4 linked regions of the Schizosaccharomyces pombe genome follow. Changing the gene in region 4 together with the main gene of any one other region gives a genetic interaction. Each region holds a gene or a part of one and is shown on either strand. Other genes may lie near its edges.

Region 1 (4,634 bases), 950 kb from region 4:
TCCGAGCTACAAATACGGCCTCCTTGATATACTTCGCATCTCAACTTTGTCGCTTAACGCTTCCTCTTTGTTATAACTTTGTTTCTCTACAACCTTATCCCACCCAATTCCATCAATTCTATGGTGAGAGTATTGACCTCTTACCACTTGGAAATCTTATTAGCAAACGTTATCCAACCTTTATACTACTGCCGATTATTTTTTCTATGATTTCTTTAAAATATAGGTTGCGACAATTCATTTATTCCATTACGCTGCGCAAATCATCCAGTGCCAGCTCTTCCGATGACTTTGATGATTCATCACTGAATTCAGAAAACGATGATGATCTGTTTAATGAAACCTCGGCTGCCTATTTAGCTGAAGGCAGAGCCCTTCTTTTGGGTACAAATAATGCCCATGTTTAATTTACCGTTATGAGCCCTATGTATTTTAATAATTTAGTCTATTCTTCACATTTTTAACAGCAATTGTTATTTCTCAACTATTTTCTTATACAAGTCTATCATTTACATAACGTTAAAAAATTCTTTTTAGTAAATTCTTCAAAGGATTCTCATAAATAATAATTTCATACAGCTATCAAATACCAGTTAAAATTAATTGAATAAAGGAGGCGCCTTGAGCGGAACTAGAAAATCAAATGATCCTTTTATTACATGAAAAGTCTACATAATTACGGGTACTTCGTATTCGAAGCATCTGTGAGAATAATTCAAAGACTGATTTATTTTTTTTCGTATGCATCATAATCATCTAATAGATTCATAGCTTTTTAAAAAAATTGGTAAAGTAGAAGAGGTACAGAAAAGCGAGTGACTTGAAAAAACATATACAGATACAGTGAATCAAAAATGCCTAAACATTTCACGAATGAAGTCTACCACCAGTCACCAACGGCTTGCATGGCAGTAGCAACCTTCAAGAAACCAGCAATGTTGGCACCATCGACAAGACTGGGAATGTTGTTAGAGCCAGAGTCACAATACTTGGAGGCGACATCGGTGGATTGTTCAAAGATGTTTTGCATAATTCCAGCCAATTTAGCGTCAACCTCGGCATGAGTCCAGGTAGAGAATTGAGCATTTTGAGCCATTTCCAAGCCAGAAACGGCGACACCACCAGCATTGGCAGCCTTACCAGGAGCAAGCCAGCAACCCTCACCAGAAGCACGAGACTTCTCAAAGACTTCAACGGCCTCAGCAGAAGAACCCATGTTGGAGCCCTCAGCAACGTAGCGACATCCTTGTTTGATAAGAGCGGCGGCTTCCTCACCGCTAACTTCGTTTTGAGTTGCACAAGGCAAAGCAATGTCAATTTCACCAACATTAGTCCAGGGACGAGCACCGGCGATGTAGTGATGCTTCTTGCAAAGAGAAGCAGAGTCGGCAATGCTGGCACGCTTCTCCTTTAGAGCCATAATTTCATGGATCTCTTCAGGGACAAGGCCTTCAGCGGTCTTTGCAATTAGGACACCTTTAGAGTCACTGATACTCTTAACAATAGCGCCTTCTTGAATGCACTTCAAGGCAGCATATTGAGCAACGTTGCCGCTACCGGAGATGGCAACACGCTTGCCCTTCAAGGTCTCGGCACCCTTGGTGCGGTGTTCAATCATGTGCTTAACATAGTAAACGACACCGTAGCCAGTGGCTTCAGGACGAATGTTGCTACCGCCGGTAAGCATGTGCTTGCCGGTGACGACACCACTGTACTCATTGCGAAGACGCTTGTACTCACCAAACATGTGCATAACGACAAAACCTGTGACACCAATATCACCAGCCGGTACATCAGTTTGAGGACCGATATAGCGGAAAAGCTGACGCATGAAAGCTTGCGAGAAGCGACGAATCTCGTTGTCGGATTTGCCCTTGGGGTCGAAGTCAGAACCACCTTTGCCACCACCCATGGGAAGGCCCGTCAAGGCATTCTTGAAAATTTGTTCAAAGCCCAAGAACTTGAGGATGCTCAAGTTGACGGAAGGATGGAAACGCAATCCACCCTTGTAGGGGCCCAAAGCCGAGTTGAATTGGACACGGTAGCCGGTGTTAACACGGCAGTTACCTTTATCGTCCTCCCATGTGACGCGGAATTCTAAGACACGTTCGGGAATGGAAATGATTGGAAGCACACGCTTCAACTCGGGATGAACTTCAAAGAGCTTGGAGCTCTCGATGGAGCCCACAATCTCCTTGTAGGCTTGTTGAAATTCAGGTTCGTATGGGGTACTCATGGTGGGCCAAAAAAGTAAACAAAATCGAAGGTAGTGATATAGAGTGTATATCTATATAATAATGATAAGTTTAGAGAATTCGAGATATCAAAAAAAGGCGACCTCGAAAACTTTTAACAATACAAATACAGGCTGTACAATCCAAAGTTCTATACAAATCCGTATTCGACGCCTTCAACGCAAAGACTTTCAAAATTTAACTACAATCCAACAAAACTCTTACAACGTGAGTATGTAAGAGATATCGATCCGGGTTCAAAACGCTTACCAGATGTACCAGTGCAGTGTAGCAGGAGGATTCAGGGACGTGCTGGCCATGTCTGCTATATTTATACACTTAACAAGCAATAATCAACAGTCACACCAGATACCTTGTTTTTTGGGAGACCATACGTTTGCTAATGGCTGACGACTTGCAATAAACCTGATGGAAGAGCGATGGCGGAGATAACAGACGAATAGGATGTAAGTATGATGTCAAAATCTCCAATCACAATGCTCCTATATATCTCTTTTCTCTATAATTGGATAGTGGAAAAGAAGATTACTTAAGCGGAAAATTTCCGATCTGATAAGCCAACCCCCTCACAGAATTCCTTCGTCTCCTGCTCAACCAAATAAAGATAAGATAAGCATTGCTTAATGATTGGTCCGTGCAACGGCTATCACCCACCCTACTGAAAATGTGGGGAAAACGCAGCTCCTCCGGGAAAATCCATGGAATTATAGAAGATCCTTAGTGGGATGGGGTGCTTGGGGGGGGGGGAAAGATGTTTTTAGATGAAAAAAAAATGTTTTAGAGAGGTTAATGTTGTAATATAGAAGATTTTCGCTTTCTGTTGATTAACAGTTTCTATAATTTTTTTAAGAAAAAAAATCTGGAAAAGTCCAAGTCCTTTGTTAATCTAATCTCGTTCCAATCTCTCACATCCATTTAAAGGGTCTATTCTTTACTCCTTTCAGTTGCTGCCCCCTTACTGATAACAAGGATAACTAAGGATAGTACCAAAAGAAAAAAACGCTAAATACTGAAATAGGTCGAATCACACTGAAACGGGTAGGTTCTTCCAGGCAGACCAAATCGCAAATACATATCCGAAAATTCGAGTAAACGGCCTTGCCTCGGTTTTACAGTATGGACTAAACATTCGCTCATCCAAACGTATTGCGCCTTAGCAGCCATAGTCATGACTAGCTTTCAATAGAAAAAAGACAAACGAAACAGAGTCATGAAATTCGTAGCGTAGATGTAAGTTAGAAAAATTTCAAATTTCTTTATTTTTTGGTCTTCTGATAACCCACTATCCCACTATCGTTTGTCCATTTATTCCTTGCCCGATCATGTGGCTGTTTGCTTTGAATCTAAAATTGGATAGAAAATAGTTCATTCGAAAGATTAGCGAAACTACGAAACAAGGTGCGATCGTCGTTGTGCTCGGTAGCAAGATGAGTTTGTTTTTTAGTATAATTTAGGTAGCTGCCAGCCTCGTTTCGTCAACTTAGCTAAATTCGTTGAGTCTGACTCATTGAATGTAGGTAAAATGGCTCATCTAAATCGAAACAAGTTGAATCGAGTACAGCCTTAGTCAAATCAAATAATGCCAAGATGAAAAAAGTCGAGCCTTTGCCAATATAATTTTATGCGATGTAATGGAATTCTTTGCCTGATTTTTAGGCTCTTTGTATTTTCTTTTAAAACACGGAAAATTCTAAAACTGGTAACCACTTTTATTATCGTTAAATGATGGAAATCAATGGTTTTTTAGCTCCTTTTTTCGGTTGATTCAAGTGTAACAAATTGTCCAAAGAAGGGAGTGGTTCCTCTTGTGTCTCGGTTTTCCCGCTGCCTTGTTGCCCAAGCAAATCATTGAAAACAGTCTCCGACGTCTTTGCTCCGACAGGTTCCAAAACTTCATGTGTTCGGCGATATGTACGTTGAACACGTTGCTTTCCCGGAATTAACAATTCAGTAGAGAAAGTGTCAATCATTTGAGACCCTCGAACTTCTCTCTCATAATACACTGCGTCGGGATTTTGCTTGGAAAATGCGTTCCAAGTTTCTTCCACCAATGATTCATCCCCCGCATACTTTTGAGACATGTGAGTAATGGCTCGTATGATGGGTGCCGTTATCCCCATAAGCTTCAAATACACTACAATGCTCAATTTGTTAGCCACACATGCTGAAGTTACTTTTAGCATTGCCCTTTGCAAACGATGCTCACTAGAATATGTTCGAGCAACATTGAAAAGATGCCAACGTTGGCACAACGTCTCCAATCGTGGAAGCAAATCTTGGCGAATCCTAGATGTCATAAAATCATCTGCAAGGGCGCAAACTTGATATATAGTTTCTAATGCGCATTCTACTAGCAGTTCGTTATCCGTGTCAAGCTGA
Region 2 (4,907 bases), on a different chromosome or scaffold from region 4:
CCGTGAAGACTTAAGTTCTGACATTAATTGGACGCTTGTTGCCCAAATGTTAGGTACTAGGACTCGTTTACAGTGTCGTTATAAATTTCAGCAATTGACGAAGGCTGCTTCAAAATTTGAACTTCAAGAAAACGTTTGGCTCTTAGAAAGGTAAGTATTGACCTACATAATTTCTCTTGCTTGCTAATATTTTAATTTAAGGATTTACGACTCGTTATTGAACAATGGTGGTAAAATTCATTGGGAAAATATCGTAAAAGAAGCTAATGGACGATGGACACGCGATCAGATGTTGTTTCAATTTATAAATTTGAAAAAAATGATACCAAGTTACGACAATCTTCCTCTTCTAGAAGCCACGAAGTCAGCCATTGATGACTTTAAAGTGGTACTTTCTGGATTCTCCAATTGACGTCCTTACAATTTTTTGAACGAAAAAATTTGTTTTAACTTACTTAAGTAACTTTGTATCTTTTTACAAGTCCTTATTAAAATGACTTAATTCTTAACGCAACACCTTCATACTGAGGATATGTAAAGTCGCCTTACTACTACCGCTCTTTGCATTTCTAGTTATTGGCGAATAGTTTTTGGAAGAATTCATAATTTCCTTAGCAATAGAGGATTTTTTGTAAATTAATAATTAAAATTGAATTGTTTGCTAATTCCGTATGAATAAATTCCAACTACCAAAAACTTTAAAGTCTTTATGGCATCACCCACATAATGGAGAGTTAATAAGCATAAACGGCTGGGTACGATCTATCCGAAAACTAAAAAATGTTTGTTTTGCCATGGTTTCTGATGGTACATGTCAACAAGCCCTTCAAGTGGTGACTTCGCCTGAACAGAGTAAGAAGTATGGTTGAGGAGGAGACATAAAATCTAAATTATATGATATCTTTTTCCTACTAACATTAATTTATTATCAAGGCTATCATATGGTGCTAGTGTGAATATTGAAGGCCAGTTGGCAGTTTCTAAAAACGCAAAACTTGGATTGCAGCAGTATGAACTGTTGGCTGAGAAAATAAAAATTTACGGCCAGATAAATGATGATGTATGTGCTTTCAAAATTGAATATACTGCAAGTCTATCGCCATAGAATTAAATTCTAATCCGGAATATAGAACTACCCTATTCAGAAAAAACATTTGACTACTGAAATGTTACGACAAATACCCCATCTTCGATTACGAACAGCAAAACAAGGGGAGATTTTTCGTCTCCGTTCAGATTCATTAAAAGCATTGCGACAATTTTTTTCAAGCAAAGATTTTACAGAGACCAACCCCCCGATAATAACTTCTTCTGATTGTGAAGGAGCTGGTGAAGTATTTACCTTGACCCCCCAGGAGACGCATAAAAATAAAAGTTTTGAAAGAGATGATCAAAAGCATTTTTTTGACCGACCTGCATTTTTAACTGTATCCACTCAATTGCATCTAGAGGCTCTAGCATTAGGACTGTCCAGAGTGTATACTATATCGCCAGCATTTAGAGCAGAACAAAGTCATACTAGTCGACATTTGGCAGAATTTTGGATGCTGGAAGCAGAAGTTGCGTTCATGACTTCGCTTTCACAACTAACATCACTTATGGAGGATATGATTAAATATACTCTTAATTCATTGATGGAGCAGAACTATCACAGAGATCATTGGGACCAACTGCTTAAACCGTGGAAATGCATGACATATTCTGAAGCAATAGAAGAATTAAGCGCTGTGAAAAAAACATGGAAATACCCTCCTAAATGGGGAAACGATTTAAGTAGTGAACATGAAAAATATCTTTGTGAAATCTTACATAAAACTCCGGTATTCGTGACGGACTATCCACAAAAAATTAAACCGTTTTATATGAAATCCTCTGGGCCCGATACAGTTGCTGCTGTTGATTTACTCGTTCCACAGGTGGGTGAACTTGCTGGAGGTTCTTTACGTAAAGACCATTTAGATGAGTATAAAACTTACCCACCAGAACTTCAATGGTATTTAGACCTAATGAAGTACAGCAATGCGCCACACGGAGGGTTTGGCTTAGGGATAGAACGACTGATTGCTTTTCTAGAAGGAGAAAACACGAACGTAAAAGAAACTATACCCTTCCCCCGTTCAGTAGGATCCATTTTTGCATGATTTATGAAAGATCTTCTATCTTACCTTTGGCGTAAAGATAGGTTGTACATCGAACTAATGAATTATAAGCCGTTTTGTCCCCGGTTCTCAACAGCTTGGCGGCATCTACATTTAATGGAGAACTAGCATCGTAATTACTTAAAAGAGAGATAATTGCTAAACAAGCAGATTGTAGACTCCAGGCCGGCGACCAATGTGTCTTTAATATGTCCATACATACTTCGCCGTTCTACCATTGACGTTAGCTAATGAATGTAATCTAAAAAACTCTATTTAAATTGGCTTACCGTCCATGAAATATTCGGATGTACAATTTTTGTTTGAAAATACACAGACGGGGGACTAATAGGATACCCTTCGTGAACATGAATATCGAGAACCCATTGCCCCCCTTCATACGGTGTTTCAGTAGGTCCTTCAATGACTGCCTTCCAATGGAACATATCAACATCAGTGACCGGTTTTAAAAGTAAGAGACCAGATATATCTCCAGCCTGGAAACTGGCATATTCTTTGTGAAGTCGTTTAATTGAACTATTCATTTGTCAAGATTCATAACACTCGTTTCTATTTTAGGTTCTAGCATGCATCAACTCTAGATAGCAAAGCTTGTCAATCTAAGAAGATTTAAATTTTCAAGGATTACCGGTTTCGCAGGTGTTGCTGGAAGCAAACAAAACCAGGTGTACTCACTAAGTTGTGTAAAAAGAAGTTAATACATAAATGCACTCAAAGCGATCCTTAATTAGCCTTATTCAACGGAAGGTAACCGAAATTTGATTAAGGCTCAGTGGCATAGTAAAGAAATGTTAGTGTTTTATTTGAAATTCGTCTTTAGTTCGTTACAACACGGTAAGCATCAATATTTGATTTAAAGAAATAAAAGTCAGATTGCATTACAGGTAATACAAGTTTTGGAGCTGATTATTAAAAATAAACGATGAAGTAAACAACATCTTATTCCTAACTTTCGTATTTTATTTGACTTTGCAGAATTTTCATTTCTAGATAATCATATAGAATTGCAGACATGAAATCACTCAGTTACATACCAAGGCTCGCAAGCGCATATTACTCGGATTCAATGACAAAGTTTATTCATTAAAAGAATGCGTAAATAATTTCGAATAACAAGATTTATAATATTTAACGTACAGAATCTACCAATACAAAGTAAACACACCAATATCATGATAGTATTAACTTAACGCTAAATCGAAAGGGATTTTAAGGAGAAACAGAAGCCAACTCATGAACATAAGTACAGAAAAGTTTTATGCCCTTAAGGAAGTTATCAAGGTCTAATTTCTCATTGATACTGTGGGCACCGTCATCACCACGGCCCATAGGCAACAACAAAACATTTTTCTTCAAAGATTGCTCAAAAGTAACAGTTACTGGAATAGAACCGCCTTCACGAACGAAATCTGGGGTTATACCGTAAACACGCTCAGTGGCTTTTTTACCGACATCATAATGCCAGTGGTCAGGAGAAGAAATCCACCAACTTCCAGAGTGCATGTTGTTAAAAGCGAGCTTGTTTTTCGAGTTCAAAGAGTTGAAAACCTTTGTTACATGTTCTTTAACAAGTCGTTCAACAGTTTCTGACTCCATATTGGGGACGGTGCGAATGGAAAATTTACCAATAACTTTCGCGGGAATAACCGTTTTAGCACCACTGCCACTAAAGGCACCTTCAATACCATGAAGTGAAAGTGTAGGATATCTCCAGCGATGTTGAAGTGTTCTCTTGGGATCGGGATAAATAGAAATATCAGCACCGACCGCCTCTTTCAAATCTTCCATTGTATAATCAATTCCATCATAAATACTATCCTCGGTAGGTGTGAGTTCTGCTACTTGGTCCATGATACCAGGAATCAAAATTTCACCATTGGGTTTAACTAAAGTACTCATGATAGCAACTAAGTCCGTCATAGGCTCATGCACAGTACCGCCAAAAACGCCAGAGTGCAGATCAGCAGATGGTCCTTCGACAGTAATATTAAAGTAACAAACACCACGGAGGCCGTAAGTTAAAACTGGCTTTTTGGTACCCAACCAATAAGTATCGCTGATGCAAACACAATCTGCTTTAGCAAAGTACTTTTCAGCTTCTGCACGAATTAAATCTTCTAAACCTTCACTGCCGTATTCCTCCATTCCTTCAAAACACATGAGTAAGTTTACTGGAAAATCAATACCAAGTTCTTTGTGAGCTTCAATGGCCGAAATCCATCCAATGAGCGGTCCTTTATCATCAGTAGCACCGCGACCAAACATGCGTCCTTTATTGTCAACTGTCAACGTGAAAGGGTCAGTACTCCATCCATCTTCTAATGAAGCCGGCTGAACATCAAAGTGATTATAAATTAAAACAGTCTTTTTAGAAGGGTCATTTCCGTATTGACCGAGAACAATAGGTGGCAGAGGAACGTCTTGTCCATCCATTTGATGATAACCAATATCACGCTTCTCCATCTTGGCTCCCAACTTTGTGAACTCACTAACCACAAAGTCAGCCATCTCTACAACTTTGGGACGAAGCGTTACATCGGCAGAGACAGAAGGTATAGAAACTGCCCGTGAAAGCCTAGTAACAAACTCATCCTTCTTCTTATCTATACTATAAAGTGTTAGGCATGTCGCTTTCTGAAATCTGCAATAAAATAAAGAAATAAGACTTGCCTCTGGCAATTCTGAACAACTGTCTACTTTTCTTTAATTTCTTCAAGAAAGATCCTTACTTACACTTCGTATAACTTA
Region 3 (3,729 bases), on a different chromosome or scaffold from region 4:
CTAGCTGACGGTGCTTTTTTTCTTCTCTTTCTTTCATCCATCGTAAAACTTCGAGACGTTCTTCATCAAGTGCCGATTCCAATGATCCTGCAGATTTTCCACCACCAGAGTAAAGAGCCGAAGTCATCCTTTAACAAATAATAAATAATTCAAGTTAGTTCGCTTTAACTAACTCAAATGTATGAATTGCCCTCACTAGTTTGTTTACTTCCGTTAGGTGGTAGATACAAGGTTGCCTCGTTTTCAACCTACGAATCCTACAAATAGCGCGCAGCGAAACAACATTTGATCTCCTTCGCTAATTTATTACATCAAAACTATATTAATGTTTACACATAAAGGTTCTTGAATTTTGGAGGAGTAATCAAGTTAAAACTGATACTGTAAACTATTAATTATGTTTTCAAAGGTTTAGCTATATTCTTTTTATTTGATCAGTTTCAGTCTTGTAATTTATAAATTGAACCAATGCATTTTTTAATTGTTATTAAAATTGTGTACTGGCATGTCATGCATTACAAACAAAAATGTTATATATTTATAATCTTCTAATATCTGCTTCTAATGGTTTTACCATGTCAGTTGTACAACAATCATAGAACAGACGGCAAAAGCTTGTTGCAAAAGATAAAATTCAATAGCAGGAGTGACATGTACAACAAATTATGTAAGAAATTGTATGCACGGTAAATTATAATTAAGATAATCATTACTAGAATTTCTCTACACATGGACAAAAACACTTGCTTGAGAAAAGTCTGTACTATAAGTTGAGACTATACAGATTTCAATAGATGAACTTCTTTTCACAAATACTGATACGGCAATGCTTCTGTATCCTTTTAGTTATCGTGTTAAGAAAAGAACCTCATCCACAATTCTATATGACAAGCTATCACTTCAACACTTCTAATTTAACGATTGCTTGTACGCCAAAATGCCCGTTGTATGTAAGCCTTCTGATCCCTCAACCAACGTCGATAGTCCTTTGCATAAAAGTTAGTAATCAGTGTACAAAGTAAATGAGTAGATAACACATATCACATACAGAAAGGGAGTAAATTTTCTCACCGTAATAATCTAATTAAGAGTTAGACATCAATCATGACGCAGCCTTCACAGCATACCTGGGATAGGATTAGAATAGCTTTCCATTTGAGGTGTAACCCTGTTTTTAACCAAGTGACGGTAAAATTCTTGTTCTCTCTAAAAAATTAAATATATTAGAATACTTTCAGAAAACATAGTCCGTAGATGCTAACATAACCCCTATTATCTAAGGGAATGAACGTACCGCTGCAATTTGTCTCGCTTGACTTTTATGAAGCAGTGTCCATATTTTTCTACCTATACTAGGGCCCAAAAGCCATCCAAGCCCTCCGGATGCAATAGTTCCAATAACATATAGAGTAAATAGATCAAGACCCATAATAGTCATGGTAGGGTCAACAGTACGCGTAAGAAAATAGGCGGATCCTAATCCTAGTCCGGTAAGTGCAGTAGGAATAGAAGTTAAGGTTTCAAAAATCCTTCTGCTTTTTCTTAATTTCAGGAATGTGGGCCAATTTAAATCTTGAGGTTTCTTCTGTTTTATAGACTCAGTGGAATAAGTTTTTACATTATAACAAGTTTTCCATAAAGTTAAAAATATTTTGGGACTTTGTAATCTTTTTACAACTAGACCAGGCCGTATAATAGGTATCATAACGAATCCTTGCTTGTTGGAAAATGTATACTTCATATACGTATCGCCTCAATTGCTCTTCTCTTTTTAACGTATTTTGTTTATTATTCCTTAGCAAGCGCGGACGCATACTAGGAAACGCAACTTTTTTTGAAAGTACGCTAAAATAGCTTAGTGAGATATAAATGAGAGTTTAAGTAAATTATTTGAAACAATATTACGGTTCGTGTATTTCGCCATTCTCCTATTTTATTCATATCCTTGAGTCAGTTGCAAGTTTAGTGTATTTTTTTATTAAAAATCCATATTATTATTTATTTATCAGCATTTGAAAGTCTGTCACTTGCTGTTGGATTTAGTATAATGTCTGGGAATTCAGGCGCCTCTGAATCGATTTCTATTGAGGAGACCAATAGAATTAGAATTTCGCTAGGCCTCAAACCCTTAGATATTTCAGAAGAAAAACCTCAGAAAGAACTTTCAGATGCTTCAGTCAAGTCTTCGTATGTCGATCAAGAACAACAGGCCTATGAAAATTGGAAGAAACAAGAGCAGGAGGAAATAAATAGGAAGAAAGAAGAAGAACTGAAAAGCAAATTTGAAAAATTACGGCAAAAGAATGAACGAAGACGCAGAACGCAAGGAAAAACACTCGCTGAAACATTGGCAGAAGAGGATGATCAAATCGATGCTAACGATACTCGAGCGTGGATACTCAAAATGCGTAATTCCTCATTGAATAAAAATGGCAATGGATTGAATTTTGAAGCGAAGAATGACGCCCCCAGAAGATCCACTCTACATTCGCAAAATGCTGGTCCCAATGTGAATAGCTCATTAGAAGGAATGAAAATAGCACACGGTTTTCAAGATTTAAACAAGAACGATGGTCTAGTCCTTACATTGAAAGATGCTGATATATTAGACGAAGATAATCATGATCTATTAGAAAATGTTGAAATGGTCCAGCGGAAGACTAAAAACGAAAGGAAGGAAGATAACCCCTACAAACCGTATGAAGATGAGAATGATTTTCTTCAACAGTCGGAAGCAGATCAACCGTCTGAAGATACTTTTACGACCATTGGTCCACAAAATAGTCTCACTGTTAATTCTACTATAGAAAAACATAAATCTGATAATAAAAAAACTTTTGGGACTCTTGTCTCTTTCGTTGAACCAACTATCACTGGCAGCGAACAATCAGATTATCGACAAATAAAGATTAAGAAGTCAAAAAAGAAAAAGTCAAAGTCTGATCGGAGAAAGCGTCTAGTAGAACTTGATGCAGAAAATGAAAATGAAAATGACCCATCTGATTTCGTGCTACCGAATGGTCAGAGTAACAGTGATCTGTCAGTTGAGCAAGATTCGGCTATTTTCAAAGAACAAAAGAAAATGAAGATTCAAAAGCGTATGCGCGAATTAGAAACACAGTCGTTTGCTGATGATGATGATTTGCAACAGTCAATTGCAATGCAGAGGAGGCTAGCTCAAAAAAGAGCGAAAATACTTAAGCCAGAAGATGTAGCTGAGCAATTGCAGAATGCCGAAGAAGTCACAGATATGACGGACTCGGACACGGCTTCCGGTTTAATATTTGATGATACGCGTGCTTTTGTTAATAGCATAAAGGAAACTGAAAATCGAGAAGCTCTTGGTTCCATAAATGAACAAGCATTTGAAGATTCCAAAGATTTGAACGATACCAATAGTATTACTGGAAGTTCTCCAACTGAAGAAAGTAATGCTTTAGTGGAAGACACCTCGGTTGATATTTCTGCAACTCTCGAAGAAGCCAATACGCAGCAGGAGAATGCAGAAGATGAGCCACTTGTCTCTGACAATGTTGGTGCAGTTCTAAGCCTTCTCCGGAATAAAGGCGTAATTAAAGTGTCGGATGAAGCGAAAGAGAAAATACAAAAAGAAGAAGAGTACAATAAATGGTTTGCCAGAAAACAGCAAGCCAGAGTTGAACTGGAGGAGCAACGTAGAAAGAAAAAAGAACAAGATCGTCTCAGCGGGAAATTTGAAAAAATGACTCA
Region 4 (4,107 bases):
CGACAGGCAAGGGCTGGACAGACCAAACCAGCAACTACACGCCCCATGGCAGAAGCTCGCGCTAGGCCTGGCGCAACAGCAGTTCCTCGCCGTTCACCTACATCTCCCCAGTCTGCATACGTTCCTGCAACTGTATATACATCTCCAATTGGCTCACCTCGTCGTGGCTCTGTTCGGTATACACATGTAATGGCACACCCGAATACAACTACTACCGTTTCTGAAAATTTGCCTGAAGAAGTCCCACCTCCATATAGTCCAGCTGCTACTGCAAGCAATACACCCCAAAATGAAGCAAGCCCTGCAGCAACCGAAGCTGTAAATCACGAACGACCAGCTTCACCACCACCAGTTTACAGACCTCCAGAGGAAATGGTTTAGCTTTGAATAGAAATGAGCGATTTTCTACAGTTTCGTTAATCCTTTCTCTTTTTCTCTTTACGAAACTAATTTACTTTAATTTTATTATCCAAAATAAATCCGTTTGTTAACTTTAAAACGGAATCTTCATGTTGAATTATTGCTCTCCGATATTTCTCCATGTTTTACTTTTGTCATTCAATGCTTCGATATGGCGATTTTTTATGTTGCCTTTAGTTTATTTATTTGTGGTAAAAAAGCAGGGATTTTTTACGAACATGATTACGAATGGTTTTATGGTTTTCTTTATGAATATTCGATCTGGACTTCAAGAAACTGATACGTTTAATATTCCATTTCGTGGGTTTTCCTCTTTTATTTTTTAAGTTTTGTGCATTCTATTTACTCTTTTCTCCTCAAGTATCACGCATGTTTCCTTGGACTTAGGATTGTTTATAACTTTGTACTTCCAAAAATTTGTTAAGCATCTGTTGTTCATTTGTAAATGTATGTTAATGATATATTTCCATGCGAAGAATAATGATGGCATTAATATTAATAAAAAATAATTTCTTTAAATCCTCTCACGATGCGACCTATAATAGATAATTAATCATTTCCGCGGTTTCTAAATTAGTATTCCAAAAAGTAAGACTAGCCACGTTTTAGTGACTCTGAGTCAGCAGTATAGCTATATACTCTGGAGAAAACATAGTCACGATTGTGAGTGAGTGGCATTTCGTTCGTGAATGAGGTATAATTATGGATGGAGTAGAAAGAAATCCACTTAAGCCTTATTCCACGAACTTGAAGTTTTTGAACGTATGTATAAGTTTGACTTGCGGGATACACAATTAGCATTTCTCCAGAAGGAGTCATTGACCAGGAGCCAGTGAGTGCTACGTTTCCATTACTAAACATAGGAGAACTCGACATAGGAGAAAAAAGACTGGTGTTTTGCACACTGAAGTTGCGAACAACATCATTTGGTTCATTACTGCTTTGATAAACGATACATGTTGAATTAGGATAAAGTCGTAAATACCGGTAGTATGTGATCAAATGTATGGGTTGGTTCCAGCTCGTGTCACTAGTTCCAGGTCGAAAGTATCGACAAACGGATATGTAGCATCCGTCAAAACGAGATCGAGGCTTTTTAAGGAACAAAGTCTTCCAGCTTTGCTGGTATTTTTCCACGAGTTCTTCCTCTATTGACTTAATAGACTGTTGCCATTCTTTTTGTTCACAACTGCAATAACAAAACGATCTATATAGAGAATCTGCTCGTAATGCCTTCGCAAAATGCTTACAAGTTAGTGCAATTGAAGAGAGATATCTTAAATCATGAAGGTCCCTAATGCAATTCTCTAGGATAACTAGCAAAACCTCGTCGGGAAGCTTCAGTATATTGGGAACGACCGACTCATTTACAGACTCATTTTCCGTTAACGTTGGAGATGGGACTGAGGAAACAGTGAGCATAGCTTCTGATGCATCTGAATTTAACATTTCCTCCTCTTCATTTCTTTTACACAGTTGCAAACGCTCCAAACGCCGATAGATAGATTCCACATCTTCATGGACTTTATGAGCTAATCGATATTTATTAAGAGATTCACCTAAATTTCCTTCTCTTTCAGATTTTATAGCATCTTTGTAATGTAAAAGTGCTTTTTTCAACAGTATATCCTTGTTCACTGTTTCAAGTTCAAGAGAAAGTTGATCCTCTACTGTACTCATCACTTATTTTATTTCTCAGACGAGCAATCGAAAGTAGATGTATAATTGAAAAAGAAAATATTTTCTTACTTATTTCTCTCAAAATAGAAAAAAAAAAAAAGAATTCAACACGAATATTAAGAGGTTAAGATAGTGCTGAACCTAACTAATGACTTTTATGTTTTTTACTTTTCATACAATTCCTAGCAAAGTATTAACAAGGATTTAAGGATTAAAAGCATCCTTTCACAAGACCTTACTTTGGTAACAATATGGTTTAGTTCATGGGTAGTTAGCCGTTGCGTTTAATATCAAGTTGTGGCGGTTTGATAACAAGAAGAAGAAGATTAAATTGAGTCAATCGTCGCTTCTTTACTGTTTAAAAAATGGACTAGATAAATATTGTAACATGTTTGAGATGCTATTTGGCTATGGGCATATTTGTAGGTGTCTTCGATTCTATCACTTCTAACAAGGCGTTAGGACTTGCGAAACCATTACATAAACTTAAAACTTGTTCAAATCAAAAGTTACTTGGCAATAAGCTAAGTGGATATTAGGATTTTAGCGATATAGAAAACATTTCGATTTGATGAATTATTGTAATAATTACCAGCTTCATGTAGCATTACTGCATTTATTTATGGTGAATATGATAGCGATTTTTATTGTTAATAAACGAGTAGATACATATCCCGCTTTGCTTTCGGATAATTCTCAGCATATCTTCGTCAAAAGCAATTGAGATTTAGATATGGTTTCGGGAACACAGTCGAAACCAAACTCATTGATAATGTACGATGCCTTCCAATCGCTATATGAATCTTGAAATAAGTATAAAAAAAATTATATATTGAAAACATTTAAAAAGCACTGTCAAGTTAAATCATTCAAGTAGCTATTTACTCATTCGCTCTCAATAAATAAAGCAAAGCGGAATGGTCCAAATAAAGTACATTTTAAGCTATTCTATTGTTTTAAAGTAGTAATTTTGTAGCTCTTTCATCCAAAAATCCAAATGACCCCTAATTCCTTTTTAAAAAAATTTTTTTCGTATTCTTTTAAAGAAATTCAAAAACTTCATGTTTACCATGACACATGTTTGATACACGCTGATATCCCACTATGCCTTCCAGGCAAATAGAATCAAACTTTGTATACATAATTCTACACTTTGCTGCATCACTGTCAAGGTTTCCTTCAGAGATGGTTCTCATCGGCATTCTAACAAGTTCAACATAAAACTGAGGATTCGTTGGGGGACCATACATCACAACAGCTTTTACACCCCTAAAGTCAAATCGACGGAAATGGTGAGCGCGCTCAGTATATAGCATTATATTGGTTCTACCTTGATAAAAAAGATTGCGGGCTCTAGTCATATCGGATACACTCGAATATTCTGATATGGCAGAATAGTTAATTCCCTCCTCATCCATGTAATTTCTCACACGAACAAAATCAAAATATGAAGGTATATAAACTAAAATACCACTCTGGGAATACTTCTTTAGTTGTACTAGTATAGAACCAGTAAAATAGGAAAAGCGGGCATCTGGAACTTTAATAATAGAATCGACAGAAATGCGAACAAAAGTTTGAGTCACTTTGTACCCCAAGCGGTTTAAAACACCGTGAAGAAGCGAGCGAAATTTAACCTTACCAGCAATATTTGACATGTAGTGAGAAAAGAAAGAATTTATATCTAGATTGTTATATTGAGAAAATAGTATAGTTTGGCGCATATATCTGGCTTGCTGATCAAGATACCAAGGACGAACACGACTGAAATCACAACCGTGAGCTTCTTTAGGCAAACCATTAAGTTCATCAAAAATGCATTCAATATGTTCCCAGTTTTGCATCACGAGAGCATGAGCTTGGTCAACCATTGCTATTTCAATCGAACTCAAATAATCGAGGTCTCGCTTTTTATCTCCCTTGTTACCAATAGCAAGACGAAGTCCCAAAGGACTAGCAACTATAATGTCAGAATTGTAAAACTGGGAAAATAGCTTGACAGTTTTT

Evidence for each region.
Region 1: mutations in pof7 (region 4) and gdh1 together harm fitness more than expected from each alone (negative genetic interaction), as found in Schizosaccharomyces pombe (one large-scale study listed by BioGRID).
Region 2: mutations in pof7 (region 4) and ubc16 together harm fitness more than expected from each alone (negative genetic interaction), as found in Schizosaccharomyces pombe (one large-scale study listed by BioGRID).
Region 3: mutations in pof7 (region 4) and pam17 together harm fitness more than expected from each alone (negative genetic interaction), as found in Schizosaccharomyces pombe (one large-scale study listed by BioGRID).

The regions. Positions count from the first base shown.
Region 1 is NC_003421.2:1,418,577-1,423,210, forward strand, and holds gdh1 (NADP-specific glutamate dehydrogenase Gdh1), read right to left. Parts: upstream 2,628-4,634; 5' UTR 2,237-2,627; coding exon 881-2,236; 3' UTR 555-880; downstream 1-554. Other genes in the region: lmb1 (plasma membrane LMBR1-like multi-pass membrane protein, human LMBRD2 ortholog, implicated in signaling), read left to right, coding at 1-407; TTT co-chaperone complex, armadillo-type fold subunit Tti1, read right to left, coding at 3,974-4,634.
Region 2 is NC_003423.3:187,441-192,347, reverse strand, and holds ubc16 (ubiquitin conjugating enzyme Ubc16), read right to left. Parts: upstream 2,942-4,907; 5' UTR 2,684-2,941; coding exon 2,429-2,683; exon of another isoform or gene 2,371-2,428; coding exon 2,143-2,370; 3' UTR 2,142-2,142; coding exon of another isoform or gene 1,131-2,141; 3' UTR 1,061-1,130; coding exon of another isoform or gene 934-1,060; 3' UTR 860-933; coding exon of another isoform or gene 672-859; 3' UTR 562-671; downstream 1-561. Other genes in the region: RNA polymerase I transcription termination factor/ RNA polymerase II transcription factor Reb1, read left to right, coding at 1-150, 202-412; asparagine--tRNA (Asn) ligase Slm5, read left to right, coding at 672-859, 934-1,060, 1,131-2,141; dipeptidase Dug1, read right to left, coding at 3,369-4,767, 4,893-4,907. UniProt on the Schizosaccharomyces pombe protein: Catalyzes the covalent attachment of ubiquitin to other proteins.
Region 3 is NC_003424.3:1,553,087-1,556,815, forward strand, and holds pam17 (putative TIM23 translocase complex-associated motor subunit Pam17), read right to left. Parts: upstream 1,735-3,729; 5' UTR 1,706-1,734; coding exon 1,295-1,705; intron 1,207-1,294; coding exon 1,128-1,206; intron 1,081-1,127; coding exon 1,049-1,080; intron 987-1,048; coding exon 915-986; 3' UTR 501-914; downstream 1-500. Other genes in the region: protein Dbs2, read right to left, coding at 1-127; U4/U5/U6 small nuclear ribonucleoprotein complex subunit Snu66, read left to right, coding at 2,048-3,729. UniProt on the Schizosaccharomyces pombe protein: Component of the PAM complex, a complex required for the translocation of transit peptide-containing proteins from the inner membrane into the mitochondrial matrix in an ATP-dependent manner.
Region 4 is NC_003421.2:2,370,980-2,375,086, forward strand, and holds pof7 (F-box protein Pof7), read right to left. Parts: upstream 2,359-4,107; 5' UTR 2,101-2,358; coding exon 1,015-2,100; 3' UTR 535-1,014; downstream 1-534. Other genes in the region: SPOM_SPCC70.10 (uncharacterized protein), read left to right, coding at 1-381; U3 associated protein Utp25, read right to left, coding at 3,141-4,107.